Coturnix japonica: one gene and its partners. The protein of the gene in region 1 interacts with the protein of each later gene in a pairwise test. Links are inferred from orthologs where the notes say so. Each region holds a gene or a part of one and is shown in the gene's direction. Other genes may lie near its edges.

Region 1 (7,088 bases):
TTTTATTGCTTTCTGCCTTTCCTTGTGAATCCATTGCTGGGAGGAGAGAAGCCTGAAGGTATTTGTTCTAACTCATGCTTCCTTAGCTGCTCACTTTCACTCCTAGACCTTTCTCTCCATCGGGATGACGCAACTGCTTTTCAATGAGAATTATTTGAACTGGATTACAGTGTGTGTGTGTGTGTGTGTGTGTGAGAGAGAGACCACCTTAAGAAAAAACAAACCAAAGAAACCTTTAAAACATATCTAGCTACATCCTGAGATTTGTTCCTCAGTGCTGAATGGAGAACTTTAATCATCAGTGGGAAAATGAAAGTAATCTTAATCGGTTATTTGTAATGTCCCTGAAGAAGAGAGTCAGTGGGATCTGATTGCAGCTCTTTTTATACTATACCTCTCCCCAGCCTCTAGGTAAACTTCCAGTTGTTGGCTTTGTCTTGTATTTTTAACACGTAATCTCAATGTAATAGCCAATTTTTGTGGGGAAGAACGCGTAGCCTAGCAAGGAACAACTTTGATAGCAATTTCAAAAGCAGCTTGATTACATTTGGCAAACTAAACAAAGATAATGACAGTTGCAATTGCAGTTGAAGCATAGATAGTATTTCAGTTTCATTTCAACAGCAGCGTGTGGTTGCTACAATGGTAATTTTAACCAAACTGGAAAGGGAAAAAAAGAATCCTTCAAAAACTGCAGTGAGTCACTACTTTCTCCAGCATCTCACAATACAGAAAAACTAGCCTTTTCAGTTACATTCCTGGATATTAATTAGCTTTTCTTTTGCCTTTAACTTATAGGAACTTGAAAAAGCAACAAACAGGAATGGATTAGTCACAGATACAGAAAAATAAAGATCTGCTTGTTCAGTTCCAGGTAAATCATACTGAGATTAACCACTTTTGTTTGTTTTATTTTCAGTCTTGAATCTTTCTTAGTCCGAACTGGCTGAAGTGTTCTTAAATAACCATTAGTGGTGTGGGAGTGACACACAACAGCCCATAGCCACAGAGCAGGTGGATGTGGTCTGTTCAAATAGTACCTCTAGCCTTAAAGAGGTAGACGAATTTAATACAATTTATTCTTATAACTTATTAAGAACACTTATTTTTGCTTTTCAAATACATGGTTAAAATTGCTTGCTGGCACTTTGTGAGGAGTTTCTCCTCTGTGTTTTGGGGAAGAGTAAAACAATGGAAGCCCTGTTCTTCCTTGAAAGTTTTCAAAAGCTTTAGTAAAGATGACAAGCTTTGCAGGAAGCCCTGAAGATCAAATAATCTGTCCTGAATTTGGAATTTCTTCTTACATAAACAATTGGTTTTGGCTCGGATTTTTTTATCTCACTTTTAAACTTTAAGGGCTTCAAGCATTTGAGTGGAATTTTTTTAAGAAACTGATTGTACTTAATTAGTTGCTATCTCAGTTTGTTTAAAACAGGCCATTTTTCATCATGCAGCTTTCACTCATAATAAAATCAAAACAATCTTTTAAGGTGTACTGAGCATTCTCATGGGATCTAGGAGTACTTGTCCAGCTCAGAAAAGGCTGAAACAAGTATTCCACATGCATTAGCAAAGAGGAAATGAGTAGCACTACTGTGCTATTTTTATAGCACATATTTTCTGGATATTAGGAAGTATTACTTCTTAGAAAGGGTGGTCAGGCACTGGAATGGACTGCCCAGGGAGGTGGTGGAGTCACTGACCCTGGGGGTGTTCAAGGAAAGACTGGATGTTGTGTTGAGGGACATGGTTTAGTGGGAGCCATTAGTAATAGGTGAACGGTTGGATTGGATGATCTTTTAGGTTTTTTCCAACCTTGGTGATTCTATGATTCTATAGGAAGACACACTGAAGAGATAGTAATAAATATGACTGTAGGTCTGATATTTTTTCTTTTTAAAATAACAAAAGCTGCTATTGTTAATGGAAATTAACTTCTTACTTAGAACAGCTATTTAATTGTAAAACGTACTGTCATTCTTGATTTCAACATAGTCCATTAGATATCCTGTGTGCTGAGTCTACCATCTGCTTTTCCTGCAGGGTATGTGGAGAAGGAAAACCAATCAACAGATCATGCGGCCATCCAAATAAAATGAACAGTACCTGAATCAGCTGCACGAGGACAGCACAAAACCAAGAAGATATTCACTTTGGAAGAGCAACCTCTAAAAAGCACTCCGAAATTTTGTGACTGCTTTGTCTTTTTCTTTCACTCTGATCAATGTAGGCAAATAATTACAGTAACTGAATTTGAAACATCATTAGAGTGTCTGAGAGTTAAGGTAGCCAAGAAAGATGTGGTTTTTATCATAGCAACAATGCAACAGCCTTTGAATGTCACCTACTGCAGCCATAAAAAGAAGAGTATTGCCTTGAAACCTGACCCTTTACCTTTGCCCTCGTGTCATTTTCACTTGTTTGTTTTGCGTTGTGCTACTTGCCTGTAGGCGAGTGTGTGGAAGGTTGACTTAGACTTTACTCAGTGTCTGATGTCAGAATGTATACAGGCTGCTGCTATAGCCCTATTGAACTACTCTGTGGGTACCGCTGCAGTGTTGGCATTGAGAGAAGGCAGATGGCATTCGCAATTGTAAAGCAGTGCTATATGAGGGTTATTCTTTGTGCCATCTGTTTTGCTCTATAGCACAGTTTCATATATACTTGAAGATTCCATCTCAATGCTGAGATATCTGCTGCCAAAATACACCTTAGAGATCATCGAGTCCAACCCCCGGGATTCGAGCCCCTGTGTAGCAGAGCGGCACTTCTACCACTTGCGCCACAGGGGGATTCGAACCCACGGTCTCCGGTGTTGCAACGCGCCATTCCTACCACTGCGCCACCGGGGCCCACCCGTAGCCCCGCCCCGGAGCAGCAGCCTAGATCCCATTGGCCCCGCCCTGCTCTTATTTGCGGCCGTGCGCTGTTGTGTCACGTGCTGCCGGCGCACGTGTGCCGTTATGTAACGCACGGCCCGACGGGGCGGGGCCTGAGAGCCGCGCAGGCGCCTCGTGCCGCCGGCGGCCGCGCATGCGGGGCGGCCTCGTGCGCAAGCGCTGGGGATGAGGGGCGGGGCCGAGCGGCGCTGGTTGCAGTCCTCCCGCGCCCCTCCTCCGGTCAGACGGCGGAGGTCTCGAGCGACAATGAAGCAGGAACCGCAACAGCAGCAGCCGTCGGCCCAGCAGCCGCCCTCCGCCGGCGCCGGGGTGCCGGCCTTCCTCAGCAAGCTGTGGGCGCTGGTGGGCGAGGCGCCCAGCAACCAGCTCATCACCTGGAGCCAGGTGCGGCGGCGCGAGTCCCGGCCGTTGCTCGCCCCGCCCCGGCCGCGTGCCCCGGTGTGGGACGGCGGCGGTGGGGCCCGGTTGGGGTTACGGGGCCTTAGGGGGCCTCGGTCGGGGCGGCGCGGGGCGGGAAATCCGGGCGCGGCCGGGCGGGCCATCGGCGGGGGGAGCGACCTCGGCGCGGTTATCCGGGCACCGCGTGCGGATGGAAGTGACGAGCGCGGGTGGCAGCCCGGGGCCTGGCCCTGCCGCCGGCTGCGGAACGTACCGGGGCGCGGCTGGGACGGGGAGCCGCCGCGGGGCACGGGCTGGGGCAGGGGATCGGGCGGCGTGCGCTGACAACGGAGCGGTACTTTGCGCTGCGGCTCGTCCGTAGTGCGCGGGGTTGTGTAACGGCTGCGAATTGCACGTATAAGATGGGTGGGAGAACGGCGTTTTTACGTCTCCCCCCGCGGCCGCCCCGCTCCCCGAGCGGCCACGTGGGGTAGCAGTTCCTGCGTCGGCCGCGGCCACCTGCACGCGGTGTAACTGCGGGGCTGCCCCCAGCCCGGCCCGCGGCGGCCTTTGTTGTGGTGGCCCGGATGTGTTGGGCACCTTGAATGGACGGAGCCGGGCGGGCATTGCCTCTATGGAAAGTCCCTGAGTGCCCGGCGGGTGCCAGCGCGGGACGGGAGTTGGGCTGCTGCTGCTGATGTCGTGGAACCCGTAGTTATCGTTCCGATGTGTGTTAGCGTTGGGTCGATCCTTACAATCTAATACAAGTAAAACCTGAGAGGGATGTCCTTTCCTTCTGAATCCCTTGTGCTAAAATGCAAGCTGCGGTGGTAGATAATAAAAAACGCATTATCAGCTTGCGGAGTTTAGGAGTATATTTATGTACTTCAAGGCAGGGAGTAACTGCCTGCTTGCATGCAGTGAAGAGGCTGGCACATGTAGTGCGCTGGACATCATTAACTTGTGATAAACACTGCACAGTCTTAATGGAGGCACAGGTAGCAGGAATAATGAATAAAGTATATAGGAAAGTGTCCCACGCTGCTGTCAGTAACAACAGGACTTGAGAACCCTGTTCAGGTACACAGTGATGCTTCACTGGGTTAAAGCTGGGCATTAGCACGTTTACAGCATCGATGTAAGCAAGCATCGGGGCAACAAGGACCAATGGCAGTAGGTTAGAAATTTTTCAAGGTGATAATGAAGTTTGGTGCTGCACAAAAGCTGTTTGCTGGCATTACAGGTTGCTGTAGCACCACTTAAAACCTTAAACTGGTGAGTCAGGTTAACTTAAAATGATCTCTCACCTTTTCTTTTACTTCCCGTTTTCTTTACGCTGCCTATTTCTCAGCAGGAGATAGACATGCATTACTGGGAAGTTGGGAAGTTTATCGTTTGTCAAAAGTGAGTTCCCACATGAGCAGTCTTCATGTGGTCTCATAGTTGGCTCTTGAGGCTTTACTGGGGAGCGTGTGGCTGGTGGCATCTGTGGGTAGGAAGCAAGTGTGGCTCCTCGAACTGAAGGGCTTCCGAGAAGATGGAGAGTAAGGGTTGGCATTTGTCAAAGCTGATAGGTGAGGTGAGGTTGTTGCGAGTAGATTACAGATAAAACCTCTGGCAGTTTGAAGCCTCTAATTCTGATTCTGCCAATTCTTGCCCTTTAGTTAATGGAGCAAGATTATTGAAGAACAAAGAACGGAGGCTTCTGTTTGTCTCAGTCTGTGGATGTAATTCGAGGATCAGTTTATTGGGTAAAAGATCGATCCTCAGAGTTGGCACGCAGGAGGAAGGAATTACTGTCTTGAGTGCTTTATGGTCATTTTGAAATCTTGTGGACAAGCTGAGGTCTTTGACAGCTCCATCTTGTCTGTGAGCCTTAACAAACTAGTCATACTTCAGCGCTGGATAGCAAAAAGGTTTTCAGCTGTGATTTGCAGGGTTGTTTTGATTTTGACCTTGTACGGTTTCTTTGCTGTATTTGTATTCCCTCTCAAGATTTTGAAGCTCGTAGGTTACAAAATTGATGGTGTTGTGCTGTAGTGAAACCGGTGCTTGTTGCTAAACTTGTCCTTAATTAATTTCTTGAGGAAGTGTGGAGAGAAGCAGTGGAAATGTTCTCCTTTAGATATGGATGGCAATGCAAATTGATAGTTCTCTGTTGCTTTGCAACTGGCAGTTATAAGCTTTTGTTGTGGAAAACTGCAGGCAAGCAGATCAGTTACGTCCTGCATGCACAAAGGAAACATTCCTATGCGGTGATTAATTCTGCAAGCCCAGAGTGTGTTCTACAATAGTCTTAAGTAGCTTTATGTCTCTCGTTTTAGAATGGCCAGAGTTTCTTGGTGTTGGATGAACAGAGATTTGCAAAAGAGATTCTGCCAAAGTACTTCAAGCACAACAACATGGCCAGCTTTGTCCGACAGCTAAACATGTGTAAGTTCTCATCTTTTGTTTCTGTCACAGTTAAAGATCCTGGATGTGTTTAGTTATGTGTTATTTTCTTCTGAACGGTTGCACTGTGTTCGTCGCGTTTAGAGTATTGTCTTGTCCTGAAAACTGATAGAAGGATGGTTGGAACAGTATATTGTTATATATGTAGTTTGAATTCTTTAGTGTGAGTTTTGAGAGATGAGTTTTTTCTCCTTTTTTTCCCCCTCTATTTAAAGATGGCTTCCGTAAAGTTGTTCATGTTGATTCTGGGATTGTCAAACTGGAGCGAGATGGTCTAGTTGAGTTTCAGCACCCCTATTTTAAGCAGGGTCGAGAGGACTTGTTGGAACACATTAAAAGGAAGGTTAGTGAAAACTCGGTATATAAACTGTAATTGTAAATGAATAGCAAAGTTCATGGCAAGTTTTAATTGTGGGTTTGTAAGTTCATGTGGAATTTTCATGTATGTTCTGATTTATTTATTTTGGGGGCTTTGACTAAGCTGCTCTAGATAATTTTTGCTCATTATAGTAAGTTTCACAGGCAGCAAAAATAAGTCATGCAAATAGAAGATCTAACAGGTATATGTGAAGAGGGCAGAACACACTTTAACTTTACCATCACTAATGTAATTATTTTTTATGTAGCTTGATTCAGAACATAGCTACTGCAAGAAGTAACCTTCTTGCCCAGGAGAGCTGGAAGCAAACATGTAAACGTGTTTGTTGTGCTGCTATTACATTTCTAAAATTTGCTTTGCTGTTACTGAGAATCAGGTGCATAAGAGTAGATATCAAACAGAAATGCAGTAACTATGGTGAGAGAGATGTGCTTGTTAGCACTGGGTTCATTTGAAGCAGTTAAGATGTAGAGTGCTGAGTACTATGTCTGGAGAATCTGAAGGTAAACAAATGCTTGTAATAAGAATGATACAGCATCTGTTGTAAGAAGTCTCTCCGTTTCTGTATTTACGTATTTGATGCATGGTTTATTAGTGACTTTAACTCAGTTATCAGCACCATCATCAACAGCATCATACTTGATCTTCAAAAGAAAATAGTAATTAACAATGAGTAAAGGGATGTTTTGTTTCTGGATTCTCATCTCTTAAAGGTTTCTTCTTCAAGACCTGAAGAAAACAAGATAAGCCAGGAGGATCTCTCCAAAATAATAAGTAGTGCTCAGAAAGTGGAGATTAAACAAGAGACTATTGAATCTCGATTGTCTGCCCTGAAAAGGTAAATGCTTTGTCAACAGCTGATACCTAAAATGGAGTAATTCTGGTAATAGATATTGGAGAACAAATATGACATAAAAGTAAGATCTCATTTTGGTTTCTTGGTGTCTAACTTGAACTGTTGTTGTAGTTAGATAAATTTC
Region 2 (7,091 bases), on another chromosome or scaffold:
AGCAGAGCAACTGTGAGAGCAAAGAAAGGGACACAACCAAAGGAATTTGGGAACTGAAGAGAAACTGCCCAGCCAACGTGGCTAAGTAGCTCTGGCCACAGTAAATAGATTTGTTTGGAAATGAGCTGCATCTAAATGGTTTTTTCACATGTTCAGTGTGATGTAGAAGCCTAGCACCTGCTGTTAACACAGTGGTTTGCATAGGAAAGCAAGCTTATGAACAGTATTTGCTAGGCAGTTTAAACTATTAGATACCACAATGCACTAGACTTCAGCTGCCTAAAGCCTTCATGTATTTCTGTGTATTTTCTTAGTTTTCATTCTTTCCTCAGCAGGCTGGAAAAATGCTAAAGAGAAGCTCTAACCCAACAGTAACGCATTCAAATATCTGCATTTCTAAATGACAACAAATAATAAAGAGAAATTTTACTAAAACTGGATATATACTAAAATAGGGATGTGAGCTAACTGCATAAAAACAACCAGTAGTTGTAGTTGCACCAGCAACCATTTGCAGCAGCTGAGAACAAAGTTCCTGATTCACAGAAATGCTGAGAACCTGCTGCTCCAGTTGAAGAGGCTGGGAGAAGCAGGCTGTCATCACGTCTGGCAGTCAGACCATGTGTGATTCAGTTTGGGGCCCTCAAATCTGCAGCCTTCACATATTAACTTGGCTGTGACTTGCACTGGGGTTGCATCTGCATTGGATGAGACGTTATAGCACATTGCTGGACTCAAATCTTGCACAAAGTCCCAACTTCTCCCACAAAAACATAGACTGCTACTCCATAGGTCTTTCCTAACATGAAGTTCTATAAATTCAGTGTTCAATAATCTAACCTTAAAATAAGTTCTTCAACATTCATTGGGCCTTTGTGTCCAGGCTAAGTGTTGGTGCACATCCCACCCAGGGCAGAATGAATTGAATCTAGCTGCCTTCTGCTGGGAAAACTATTCCTAGTTTTAAATGAACAAACGTTGGCAGTCATGCAAGTAAGGTTCATATTGTAGTGGGGGAGCTAGAAATATCAGTTTGGAAAAGGTTCAGTGTTTGAGTTTAAATCCCTGAAGAAACATATGAATGTGATGCATCTTTGATTTCAGCCTATTAGCAACAGCACAGGAACAGCTATATGTCAAGGATCAGCTGCTCTTTAAAAGTCTAAAAGAAGCAGCAGATCTCTCACAAGTTCTTGCTCCCTCTGTTTCTTGAACAGTGTGTAACATACAGCATGCCTGTTCTGTGTTCCATTTGCCAAGAGGCTCAAGTAAATATAATGTCCTAACAGAAGTTGCTAATTGTGCCAAAACATGGGCTTATATAGCTTGTAAACTTACCGTCTTATTACTCACCATTGCAAAAGTAAGCATTTGCTTGTTTGCAGTGGCCTAAAGAGCAGATCCAACATGTGCTGAAGTTAGTAGGAGCTTTTCTGCAAACATTAACGTCCCTTGGATCAAATGTGCAGGGTTGGATCAGTTTTCGTCTCAGTGGAACCTGTGACAGAATTGTATACGTTAGTCAACAGCAGAATCCGCGGCCTTGGGTCTGTTCCTGGCATTCTTAAAGACATCCAGAGGGCTCACACCAGCACTGAAAGCAGTCACTTCCCAATCATCTGAGACACTTATGGACTTTTCTTTCCTTTTCAGCATTACGGGAAGCTTTTCTCGCCCCCCAGAAGCCTCACAGACAGGTGTCTTTTCCAATGTACTTGGCAGATCACCAAGTTCAGGCTATTTGGAACCAAAAGGAATGAAAGACTTTGTGAGAGAGAAGCCTGCCAAGGCCCAGTCTTTCACAGAGAGGGAATTTGGACAGAGATCACATCCTGCTGATCCCAGCTGTGGCAGCATGGCCTGCGGAGCAAGAAGGACCCTCACAGATGACTCATAACCCACAAGTTCAATTTCATCCAAAGACAACAGGCTGTCCGTGCAGATTCTCTATTTATGACATTTGTTAAAGATAAATCCAGGACACTCAGAGGCTAAGGGGTTGCTTAGGATTACAATTACCATTTGTATTGGAAACTATAGTTTCCAGTTCCAGAAAGGTATCATTCAGTATAGATATAGATTAATATATATGAAATATCAGGCAAAAAAAGCTTCCACAACGAGAGGAGGCACAGTACAGAAATACAGGCTCTTGTCTCCTATGTGAAAGCAACACCTACCCTTATCACAAGAAAGCTGCATGAATGTATAGCATTACCCTGCTGATTTGTGGTATTTAGTCTTCTTTTCTTTCCAGAATGAAGACTATACACCAAGGCAAGAACTGGATTTATTCCCTAACAGCATAGGATGGATGGAGCATCTCTCACAGTTCCATGCCTGTATTTTCCCCCCATGGTAAAGGGCAGGGTTAAAGCTGCAGACTTCAGCTATGGGTTTCCAAGCTGGAGAAGGGCCTTGGCTTCATTACACCATCACTTTTTTCCTTTCTCAGCAGCCACCAGCATTTCTGGAGCCCGCAGATCTTCCTGTGTTACAGGGCCAGCACATAACACGTGTCTCTTGGTTTTCTTCCCTCTCACTGAAAGCAGTTCGGAAAAAAACCCACTGTTTTCCAGAAAAACACTGAAATTTGAGGAGAATCTGCATGCAAGCTAAATGGAAGCTAAATATATCCCTAGGCAGGGCTAGGCCGCACACCTACCCTCGGTATAACAGCATTACGTGGCCTGCTGTGCTGTTTACCTTACGGATTAGCTCAGTCTCCTCACAATATTGTGGGTTAAGCATGAATTTTCAGTGCTTTCGTTCCTTCATTCCTCAGGGCAGCGAGCACACACCTGAGGGATGGAGGCCTTCAGCACAGAGCCATTTCCAAAGGCGGGAAGCAGGCTGAAAAAAGAAGCGCGTGGCCCTTTAAGGCGCACGGCCCCCACTGATGCTTTTTGTCCCTCTGGCCGCACCGTAGCGCTCATGGGAGAGAGCGGCATTGTGCAGCCTTTGGCCTACATCGCGCATGCGCAGTGCCACATTCCCCGCCTGGCGGCTCCGGTGCTGCCGCCGCCGCCGTGTCCCCCCTCCGCCCCTCCCGAGGCAGGAGGAGGAGGCGGCGGTGCCGGGTGTGCACCCAGCCCTTCCCCTTCCCTCGGTAAGTCACTATGGAGCCCGGCTGGATGGGTTCCTTCAGCTCCGGCTTCGTGTGGGGAGCCGCCTCTCCTCCCTCCCCCACCGCCCTCACTCTGAGGCGAGAGGGGGCCGCGTGCGGCCTTGCATTGCTCTGTATGTGCATTGCATTGCTCTGTGTGTGCATTGCATTGCTCTGCAGCTCCGTTGCTTTGCCCTGCAGCTCCATTGCTTTGCCCTGCAGCTCCCTTGCTTTGCCCTGCAGCTCCGTTGCTTTGCCCTGCAGNTTGCCCTGCAGCTCCGTTGCTTTGCCCTGCAGCTCCATTGCTTTGCCCTGCAGCTCCCTTGCTTTGCCCTGCAGCTCCGTTGCTTTGCCCTGCAGCTCCATTGCTTTGCCCTGCAGCTCCATTGCTTTGCCCTGCAGCTCCATTGCTTTGCCCTGCAGCTCCATTGCTTTGCCCTGCAGCTCCATTGCTTTGCTCTGCAGCTCCATTGCTCTGTGCTGCTCCACGCCTCGCTGTAGAGCGTGCAGCCCTGTGGATGTGTGCACGCCCTATGTACGTGCACACACGTGGCTGTGTATCCTTGCAGGCTGTGTATCCTTGCAGGCTGTGTATTCCTGCAGGCTGCTGCTGCTTCTAAAGCCTTCGGGAAGTTTCTTGCTTACAAGCTGAGTTTACACGAGCTTCCCCCCTGGGTGTGGTGAGAAAGGGGTGTTTGCAGCCAGGGCCCTTTGAAGCTTGCCATGTGCTGCTGCTCAGGTTTGTATGAGGAGGTGCAAGGGGTAAGCTGTGTTGCTTGCTCAAGTTCCCATATAAGTTCAGGTTGAAATGCATTAGATCTGGATTATAGAGCTGGAGTTGCTGGTATTAACAGTAAGTAAGGAGTCTGTACTGTGCTTGTAAAGCTTGCAACTGGTGGCACTGAGCTCTGTGCCCTCCTGAGGACAAGATGTGCATCGTGGCTTGAAAAGTCAATGCTGTTCCTCTTGGATTTGCTGCCACAAGCAAAATGGATTGTGCTTGGGATGGGATATTGCAAATAGCAAAGGATTTGTAAATCCTTACAATGTGAGCTGCGGGTTATTCTGTTACACTGCTGAAATGAAGCTGAACTGCAGCGTGATTGTTCCCTCTGCAGCATCAGCCCTGATTGCAGGGTACAGCACAGCACTGCTCAGGTTTTGCTACAGAAAGCAGATCTGGTGAGGTTAATGCAGGGCTGCTGTTAGGCAGGGGGATCTCTCAAGCAGGGATATGGTGCTCACAGCATTTAGGGGGAAGGTATTAGACCAAAGTACTTGAAATAGGAAATGGAAAAATAAAACAAACCTGGTGTGGTTTTAAGCTTTGGAAATGCCTTATATATAAGGTGTTGTATTTGCTGTGTTGTACAGATGTTTCAAGGAATATAAGATAAACCCACTGCCTCTAAGAGCTACTCTGCTTTATTTGTAGTGATTGGTACAAAACACAGCAAAAAACGCTGTGCAGGAGCTGATCAAAGTCTTGTATTTGGGTTCTTGATAGACCACTAATAGACCTGTAGGCATAAAATGGCATGTTGCTGAGCAGGCGTACAATATGTTTCCTCATCATGTTTTCTGCAGACCTGCAGTTAAGCTGATCTTGTTCCTTTAGCTGCCTCTGATCCTTCTTTGATGGTTAATGTGATTGTTTGCTTTTTCTTCCAGGGTTTTGTTTCTAGCAGCGCTGTTCCTCTCCCCGTGGCAAGGGCTGCCTTGTGAAGCAGCACGTTCATTCTCCCCCTTCAAGCACCGTAGGTCTCATTTGCCGGCTTCAGAACCATGGCAACAGAAGAAAAGAAACCAGATGCAGAATCCACCAAAACACAATCGACTCCTTCCTCCTCAACCAATCAGAGCAAGGTGTGTGTGGGGAGCTCTGAACAATGCCTGCGTAAATGCACATGGTGCATACCTGCACGTGCACCAGGCAAACAGCAATTAGAGAACTGAATCAAGTATGCATTAAGAACTTCTTAATACGTCTGCCTCTGCTGTTGTATGGAGAGGGAAGTGTGCTGAAGGTTGTAGGGGAAAAGCAGGCTGAGTACAGCTTAGTGCTAGGTTGATTATTTGGTTGAAATAGAGTTTTAAGGGGCCTGGGGGAGTTGGCTTGTGGTTGCTTCTGAGCAAGGAATAGAACTACAGGCATTTCATAGTACTATACACAGAGTATAAAACCATCACCAGAGGTTTTATTTTAATCTCAAAACACTCTGTGCTCGAACTGTTGTGTTACTGTCATCTGTTAGTTGCAGGCTTGAAGGGAATTCAGATCAGGATGAGTTTGGTGGCACGTGGCTGTAATGTGCTTCTGGCTCCAGTGGGGGCTTGTTGAATTTGGTGGGGGGAGAGAATGTAAATGGTAGAATCTGTTCAGGTGAATGTATGTATTCATGTGTGCTGATCTCGTCTGATACTGAGCTTGTCACTGAGAAACTAAATTGGGAATTTATTCAACTCATTCATATGTATTTTTCTTCCAGCCTGCACCAGTGAAACCAAATTATGCTCTAAAGTTCACGTTAGCGGGACATACGAAGGCGGTATCATCTGTAAAGTTTAGTCCTAATGGAGAGTGGTTAGCCAGCTCCTGTAAGTATTGCTTTCTTACATCAACAGAATGCAAATACGGGCCTTGTAGAACTACTTGTCTTAACTGACTGGATGGAGAAGGGATAAGTGTCCTTACTGTTCTTAAAAGGAACAATGCCCAAACTGGCAGACTTTGGGATAATCCAAGATCTTTCAGTGTTTTGCTAACTCAGAGTCCTTTCCTGTTTAGTTTTCTTACTGTGCAAGGGGACAAAAGCAAACGGGATTCTTGCCCCATCCTTGTGCTTTTCTGTGGCACTAAAGATGAAGCTTAAGCTTTTAAATTCTGGGTGCGGTACCTGCAGGTAAAACTCAGCTCTGGGAAATGTCAGAGTTAACTTGGCACTGCTGGGCTGGATTGCATTGTGATGTGAAGGACTGCCTGTGTGCTTCTGTTCTCTGTGCCTGTGGTTCTTAGCAAGTCAGAGCCTTAGATTATCCCAATGAAATATGCAGATCATAGTGTTTCGCTGCTCCCTCTTAGTTGGCAGGTTGAGTTCTCCCCTGACAGCTTTGGTGTTTGTCACCAAGAAAACTGCTTGGTAGCTTTCCTTAGTAAATGTCCTTATACTAACCTCAGTGAGGTACTGTATATGAAGAAAGAGCAATTAAAGAACAATATTGAATGTGATGGTGGGAGCCAGTCAAACATCTTCCAGACATGGGAATTACTTCGGTCTTTGGCTTAACTTCACATTGCCTTTATAAGGCCAGTATACCATGTGTAAATCACTTTTATGTTCTGTTATCCTTATGAAAGACCTTTTCCCCCATCCTAAGGTTTTCCAGCCTCTGGCAAATATCAACCTCTTTCTCTGGCCCGTTTTGCAAGTTAAAATGGACAGCATGTTTGGGTTTATGCAGGCATTAATTCATTCCAGGTAGTGATGTAATTTTTGCTCTTTCTGGGCAAAAGAGTTTCAGCATTCCACATGGAACAGTACTGCGTCTACCACTGGCAGGCTTAAACAAAAGTAGAAGCTCAAGTTGTCATCAGAGAAACTAAAGCGACTGGAGACTGCATTCCAGGCAGCTTATGTAATCTCAGTTGCAGCAGTGAGTGTGGTGTGTATGAAACCATTCTTTACCAGTTACATACAGCCTTATACGCTTGTGTGTGCATAGAGAGGGAGGACTACCCACCTTTAGTAGGGGCATGGTTAACATATCCCTGTCCTCCAGCTGTGTCTGTCAGTGCTGCATGTCTCTTAAACTGGCACATTCTTTTCCAGCTGCTGACAAACTTATTAAAATTTGGGGAGCATATGATGGCAAGTTTGAAAAAACGATATCTGGCCATAAACTGGTAAGTATAAGGACTCACTGCGTATGAGTCTTTTCTTGTAATGAATTTATTCTCCCTTCTTTTTCCTCATCTAGTCATTTC
Region 3 (7,013 bases), on another chromosome or scaffold:
ACATTAGGAATAAATTGCACTTCATTGTGCTCAGTAGAGCTGTGCTCTCATTGCATGTGCTCTTGTGTACCAGCTCACTGGGATCTGAGGCTCTCCTCTTGCCATTATGATGAAAGGTTGGTGTGACGGGATAGAGGGAGGCTTTAACAATAGGAACACTATCAAAACAACCTCTGGAAATACTCTGAGCCCAGGTGAGTTCAAACCTCTGTCTACATAGGCAGGTAATACAGCTGAATCCAGGAGTCAGTGGGTTGGACAGGGTTGCTGTATCATGGTCACAATCTGAATGTGCTACTTGGGGTTTACGGCTATTGAGAGTGATACAAGTATGCAGTGTGGGCTCTGAAATAGCACCTCTCTTTGAAGATGGGACAAGTTGAAAGGCTGGGAGAATGTGCAGAAGATGAAATATCTGTAAAACAAGAGTGCTTCTCTATCCTTTTTTAGATCTTAGATATTCAGAATGCATTTGAGTATTTGAAGAGGTGGGAAACTCTTTAATATCATCTGAAAGCTTCAAGAGAAGTTTATAAACCAAAGTCATGGAATCATGTGAGCTGGAAGGGACTCTTCCAGGCCATGGAGTCCAGCTCCCTTCAGTGAACTGGGACACAACATCTTAATAACAGCAACTTCATCAAATTACCAGCTAGGACTTTTTGAATAAGCTGCATCAACCCATGCCTGATAGTGATACAGGAGAGCACTGAGTGGCTTACAGATGGGGCAGAAACAGTGGATCTTGCTAATGAAAATGCTTTCTTAAATAGCATGATATAGATGCATGGTTATATAATGCAAGTTTGTGTGCATTACTGTTGGAATTTACTGTAATAACTTAAGATGACTGCCAGATGTGCTTGTATTTTTGTTGATCAAAACCTGAGAGGCTCACAGTCATCATCCAGTCTGTGCAATGAAGTCCAGACCCATTGCTTCTGTCCAAGCGAGTCATCCTTTAATGTCAGAACCAGCCAGGCATGGGTGTTGAAGTGAAAGCCCTGAAGTTCAGGTCACAAATTACTGAGCTCTGCCCTCTGAGGACCTGGTTGAGGGTGGGCAGATGTTGCTCTGTTTCACCTTTCTGGAGCTCTGCCTTGGGCGAGGAGGGGGATGAGTCATTGGCACTGAGCTGCAGTAGCGTTAAGGTTAACCTGATTTGAGCGGAAACAACGCCGTGCCTGACAAGAGCAGAGCGTTCATTTTTAGCTGCTCAGCAGTTGGAGTATCAAATCTCTGAAAAGCTGCCTGGCTTGATTGTTCCCATTACATAACAGCGATGTCTTTGGGATTTGAGAGGCGCTGTGAGTGACATGTCTCTTACATAAATCCCCACGGCTGTGATCTGTGCTGACCCTGGGCAGCCAGGAATGGCTGACAGCAGCGCTGAGCCCATGGGGAGGCCAGGAGCAGTGGCCCTCTGCTCTGAGGGGTTCCCCCAGATGCTTGCTGGGGTTGCAGGTTTTGTTCCTGCTAATGTACTGTGAACAGGGGCTGAAGCAGAAAGCAAGCCCTTAAACCCTTTTGTGTCCTCATAGCCTTTGGGTGCTCTCTAATAGGTTGATGTCCTCCTTACACTGTGACCCCTAGACTTGTTCAGAGGGTGTGTCTGCTGACTTCTCCATAGGAGAGCTGTGTTCTGGCTGTGCTGACTGCCTCTGCTGTAATTAAGAGCATGTTAAGAATGGTAGGCAATGTTGTGGGATTGTTTGGGAGAAGAATCAAGGTAACTATGCACAGAGATGCCTATCTAATTAAAACTACAGGGAGATGCGGATGGCAGCTAATGAGGCTGAATGTGCAACTTAACTGAGTTATTTGAAGAGAAGCAACCTGCCTTGCTGGGGTAAAGAGGGTGGGAGGGAAATAGAACATAGTTTAGAATTCATTACCGAAGTATAAATTTCACTATAACTAGTGCAAGCTTTGCTTTGGGTTCCTTTGGATTAGGGATTCTACCACACTGAACTGAAACAAATTAAGAATGGTAACTAGAAATTGCATGTGAATCAAGTACTTAAAGACTACTATTTTATTAAATCGTTCTTAATATCCCATCCGTATCTTCATCTTTGAGTATCTTCTAGGTTTTCATCCAACTTTTCTCCACTTCATCTTTACCTCAAGGACAAAAAACTGACAAGTGGCTTCTCCTTTTTCCCCCCGTTCTCTCCTTCCTCTTTCTTTCCTTCTTTTCCTGTCATATCAGTTTCTTCTTTAGTTACTCTGCTTGTTCTGCAGTCACATCCCTCTTCTTGTACTTGTCTTTCTTCACTCTATAGTCTCTCCTGCCTCTTTTGTCTCATAATACAAATACATATCACTTTATGTATTTGTATTATGAAAAAAAAAGCTTTTCCAGCTTTTCTGTCTTACGGTTTGATCTGTGCTGCTTGGAAGTTCCTCTTCTAGTTTCATCTTTGATTCTTTTTAACTTGACTTTGGGCACCTTTTAACCCTTGTGAAAGTGTATCCTGGGCTAAGGACTGTCTGTTAACTTCTCAGACTCAGCCTGTCATCTTTGAGACCATAATTACCACTCTGGCAATTTTCTCTTGACTTCTGAGAGAATCTCCTTCTGTGTGGCTTCTGGGTGATCTTCCTCACCTTTGTTTCTTTTCTTTCCCTTCCTGCTTTTTCTGGGAGATATCATAAGGAACATACTCAGCTTAATTTCCATGGATAGCAAAGCATTACCCTTTTATCATCAAATGGTAGCGTATGTTGAAGTGCCATATAGCCACATAGTGTGTGTCAAATAATGCAGAACCCCTTAAAAACAGCAATCTCTGTGAATACATCAAAACCTGACTAGGCTTAATCTGTGCTTCCCCCTTTAGCTTAGGTACCTAAATTTGACATAGGAGCACAGAGTTTGAGTAAGGCTCTTTCAGAGGAAGAGGAACAGAAAATGCAGAGTTTGTTTCAAAGCTCTGTGTTCTCTTCCCCGTTTTTCAGAGTAGGTGTGTTGCCTGGTTGCTTGATTTCAGTCGCTTTTAACAGGGACCAACCTATCTGTGAGTTAATGGCAGGAAATTGAGGCAGGAGCACAATCAAAAGTGCAGGATGTTTAATCTTCAGCAGTGTTTACAAAAGATTCGGTGTTTGCCTTTGTTACCTACACTAATTCTGATGAGCCTTTTGTTCCTTTTTTTTAAAGGTTTCCACCCTGGGACTGTTTTCTAAGGCAAACTATCACCAATGGAAGTAACATTTGTTTTTCCAGCGTTCTGGGTAAGATTATCTTCTGTGTTGGTTTTATTTGTCTGATGTGTTCGTAAACGTTTGCCACTGAACTCTTTGCAAGTTTTCTTTGATTTTTATTACATTCTGTCCAACAAAAAGAAAAATGCTCTCTGATGATTTCATAAACAATGCAGATAAAGGTGACTTCAAAGCAAACCATGAGGCTCTTGCACTGGGGGAATTATAAAACATAAACAGACCTTTGCTTTCCTAATGTTGTTTCGAATTGTTTCATAGGTATAGTGAGTATTGAAAATATATGGTATATACTAGTTGAGTTTCATATCTAAACTAAACATAGCTACTTCCTTTGTGTGTGTTCTTTGGGCTATCAAATCTTTTAAAGATACAATAGTTGAAGTTGGACACATGTTTGGGACAGTGGGAAAGGTGTATTTTTCCTGGGAGATGGATCCTGTAAACCATGTTGTAGTGGCATGAAGTTGTGCTCAGTCAGTCATTGTGAACAATAATGTTGCTTGCTGAAGTTTCTGGAAGGTCAACAGTGATGTTATACCAGGGAGAAAAGAAGTTGATAGCTATGTTGCCAAGTTGCGGGGCAGTGTTTGCCATTAGGCTGGGGACATTGGCTCCATGATTTATAGTGCCCCCCAGTAACATGCTGGAAATGGCCCCAAAGCCTTGTGACTCCCTTCCAGCTGACCCTCAGTCAGGCAAGATGCAGTGCTGGCTTTGGCCCAGCCAGAGGTAGCTTCACTCTGACCAAATAAAAGCTGAGCTCTGAGGACTTTTTCTGCAGTGACCATGTCATGATGGGACAAAACCATCTTTCATGATCTTATGCTGTGCCCAGTTTTACAGCAGGCTCTCAGCTAATTTCTAGGAGGTCTGAGCCTGTTCCCCAAGTGATAAAGTAGCCTTGCTGGTAAAGATTTGGTGATTCTGCATGAGCATTTTGCTGTAATTTGGAGAGACCTGGACCTGGTCTGACCTGGAATCAAAAAGGTCTGGTAAGAGCAGCTGGCACTGGGAGATGTCCAAGATCCCAGCAGTAAGAATGGGAACAACTCTACTATGCAGCATAGTAAGGAGTTGCTCATGGAAATTAAAGGCCATTGGATAGGCAAAAACCTCCTTAGGAGTCTTGAAATGAGTTTGCTTGATGTAATGATTGCTAGAAATACACTGCTTGTGACAAACCCTGTAGCTATAGCAGTTGGCTGCAAATAAAGAAAATGCTGCCAGAAGAAGTCAAATAGAGCAAGAAATGTAGGGGACTATCTATAATTTGATGCTTCCTGCAAACCTGGAAGGATAATTTGCTGGCCCATTTCTAACTCTTTTGAAGAGGCAGGACCAAATAATGTGTGTTTGTAGGATGTAATGTGCTTTTCACTTTTCTCATGCAGATCTTAGAGCTCTGAGTGGGCGGATGCTGTTTGTACAAAAGCATAACCTTGCTCAAGTGATCTTTGTATGAACTTGGAGTGTGTAACCCTCATAGCTGTGTCTGATAGGAGGTATCCTGACCCACTATTAAAATGCTGTTCTGAAAGTGTTATTAAAAAAAGATTTTAAAGGAGTAGGTTGAAGTGTTCTGCTTGGGAAGTTGTGGATCAAATGGTTGATAATTTACCTCTGCTTCAAAGAAGAGGAGGTTTTTGCTGCTTTCAGCAATAACCAGAAAGGCAACGAAGCAATTTGACAATATTTTAAGTCATCCAGTAATTTAACACTGGATTACCATTGAAATCTCATAAAAATACTGAAGCCATCCTACAGTGTATCAGATGGATTAAACATGTTTCACTTATTGCATTAAATTCCAGAGGGATTAATAATGTCTGGGTCATTGTTCCCTAGACTTAGAAATTGTAAGGCCAGAGGGGTCTGCGTGAATATCTGTTCTTTCTACCTACTCTGTGTGGGTTGAGGAAATGCTGAATATATACCAGGAATCATCCTTTTTTTTTTTTTTTTTTTTTAAATTTCCTTTGTTCAGCAAATCTTCTGGAAAGAGATCAAATTCTTGTTGTAGAGGGTATCAGTAGTAATGAATCTGCCATGTCACAGGTAAATTGTTGCAGTGAATGAGTCTTGCTCTCAGAAGCAGCTTGCAGCTCTCTTCAGCTTCTGAATGTAGTACATTGTCTGTCCTGCAGGACCAGTAAAGTATCAGTTATCTGAGAAGCTGACCCTCCATTCCGTTAGTCACTTAAAATGCATTTACTATGAGATGTGTTGAAGGATGGTGAATCTTTTAGTTCAGGTTTTCATGTAATATGACTTTAAATTAATGTGTAGTGTGGAATTAGGGGCAGTAATGTTAGCACACTATACTGCCATTATTAAATGTTGATGTAACTGTGTAGAAAGAGATTTGCATGCCCAAGCCTATTTTCCATACAGCTGTGTTGATTGTGCTACTGTCTTTCAATGCTTTATTGATCGTGTCTCATGATAAGCTTTCCCTGATGCTGTTAACTACTGATGTGAGTCTGATGGTTTGATCATAGCTACAGTTGTCTTTTAACTTTAACTACTTCCAGTTTAAACCTTTTCCAGTTGTTAGCAGCAATCATTGCATCAGGGAAATTATTGACATATCTGCCCTCTGCTGCTGTGTACAGGTTACCAGAGCTCTATTTTATTTATTTATTTATTTATTGCTTTTCTTCCATCACTTGCATTTATGCAATGGTAATTTGCATGTTGTTATCTGTGTCCCTTTTCCCCATCTGTTATGCACTGTGGATTTGTTTTAAAGGTTTATTTGCTGCTGCTGTTACATTGATTAACCAGGATTCTTTAACTGAAAAAGCTTTCTTTCATGACTGTGGCACAGTGCTTTTTGTGTTATGACAGATTATAAAGTATCCCCAGCTAAACAGTTCACCTCCATCCAGTAGAAATCTAGTATTATCTAGAGATGCTTCTTGAGTTAAGATGTGGACAAGAACTTGTGGACTTTCCTGTAGCTTTCAAGTGAAGTGCTTTTTCCTGATAAATTCCCTGCTAGAATAAAACTGTGTGGCAGTATTTTTCCTTAACTTTGAGGGTATATGCCTGAGGAATATCTCTGTCTGTTCTCTTACCTCACTTGATGGATTTCTAGCAGACCTTTTCCTCATCTCATCTTGTGGTTTGCCAGCTGTCCAGATTCTGCTTTTCTTGTATGTGTGATGTTCATGGCTTTATCTTATGCACACTTGCTCCGAAATAAGCATGGAGCTTTTTTAGCATTGATTCTTACCATAATTTACTGTTACCATTTTAACTTTTAGTAGAAGTGAGCTTCCTTTTAAGAAGGGAATTCTGTTGATATGGTGAGCCCAGTCATTGCAGTTGTAAGCAAGTATTGTTTGTCCTTTAAGAAACAAAAATAAGCTATTTAAATATCAACAATACTGGCATAACACTGCCTTCTGTTGTCAGCTCTGCAGTGTATGAATCACAAGAGCTTTGACAATTCATCGTGACATGGGAAGTCCCTTGTTTGTCTGACATGTGCAGTGTGCAGCTCTGTAGTGCATGTGACCTTTGCAGGCTGCGGCTGCTGCAGTGTCATGGTGGGAGTAAGCAGACTTGAACCTCGTAAGATGGAATTCATGCTGTGATTGGCTTTGGAGCTGACTCCATACAGCAATGGAAGGAAAAGGCAGCAGCTGAGGTTAAAACTTTATATGTTTTCTCTTGTGAAACACCAGTATAATCTTAAGTGGTTGATTCTCAGAATTTTAACAGTTTACCAGGTTAAAGTAATATACATATGGTAATTGGCTCTTCACTGTTTGAAGTAAGTA

The links.
Region 2: the proteins of HSF2 (region 1) and WDR5 interact in binary tests that used the Homo sapiens proteins (3 or more experiments, as listed by UniProt). The two-hybrid records come from large-scale screens. The link is inferred for Coturnix japonica from reciprocal best matches to the Homo sapiens genes HSF2 and WDR5.
Region 3: the proteins of HSF2 (region 1) and MTUS2 interact in binary tests that used the Homo sapiens proteins (3 or more experiments, as listed by UniProt). The two-hybrid records come from large-scale screens. The link is inferred for Coturnix japonica from reciprocal best matches to the Homo sapiens genes HSF2 and MTUS2.

Annotation. Positions count from the first base shown.
Region 1 is NC_029518.1:55,735,079-55,742,166, reverse strand, and holds the start of HSF2 (heat shock factor protein 2), read left to right. Parts: upstream 1-3,019; 5' UTR 3,020-3,065; coding exon 3,066-3,284; intron 3,285-5,602; coding exon 5,603-5,711; intron 5,712-5,944; coding exon 5,945-6,072; intron 6,073-6,821; coding exon 6,822-6,946; intron 6,947-7,088. UniProt on the Homo sapiens protein: DNA-binding protein that specifically binds heat shock promoter elements (HSE) and activates transcription. In higher eukaryotes, HSF is unable to bind to the HSE unless the cells are heat shocked.
Region 2 is NC_029532.1:5,716,229-5,723,319, forward strand, and holds the start of WDR5 (WD repeat-containing protein 5), read left to right. Parts: upstream 1-2,985; 5' UTR 2,986-3,109; intron 3,110-4,777; 5' UTR 4,778-4,891; coding exon 4,892-4,972; intron 4,973-5,595; coding exon 5,596-5,704; intron 5,705-6,936; coding exon 6,937-7,010; intron 7,011-7,091.
Region 3 is NC_029516.1:157,159,818-157,166,830, reverse strand, and holds the start of MTUS2 (microtubule-associated tumor suppressor candidate 2), read left to right. Parts: upstream 1-3,119; 5' UTR 3,120-3,237; intron 3,238-7,013. UniProt on the Homo sapiens protein: Binds microtubules. Together with MAPRE1 may target the microtubule depolymerase KIF2C to the plus-end of microtubules. May regulate the dynamics of microtubules at their growing distal tip.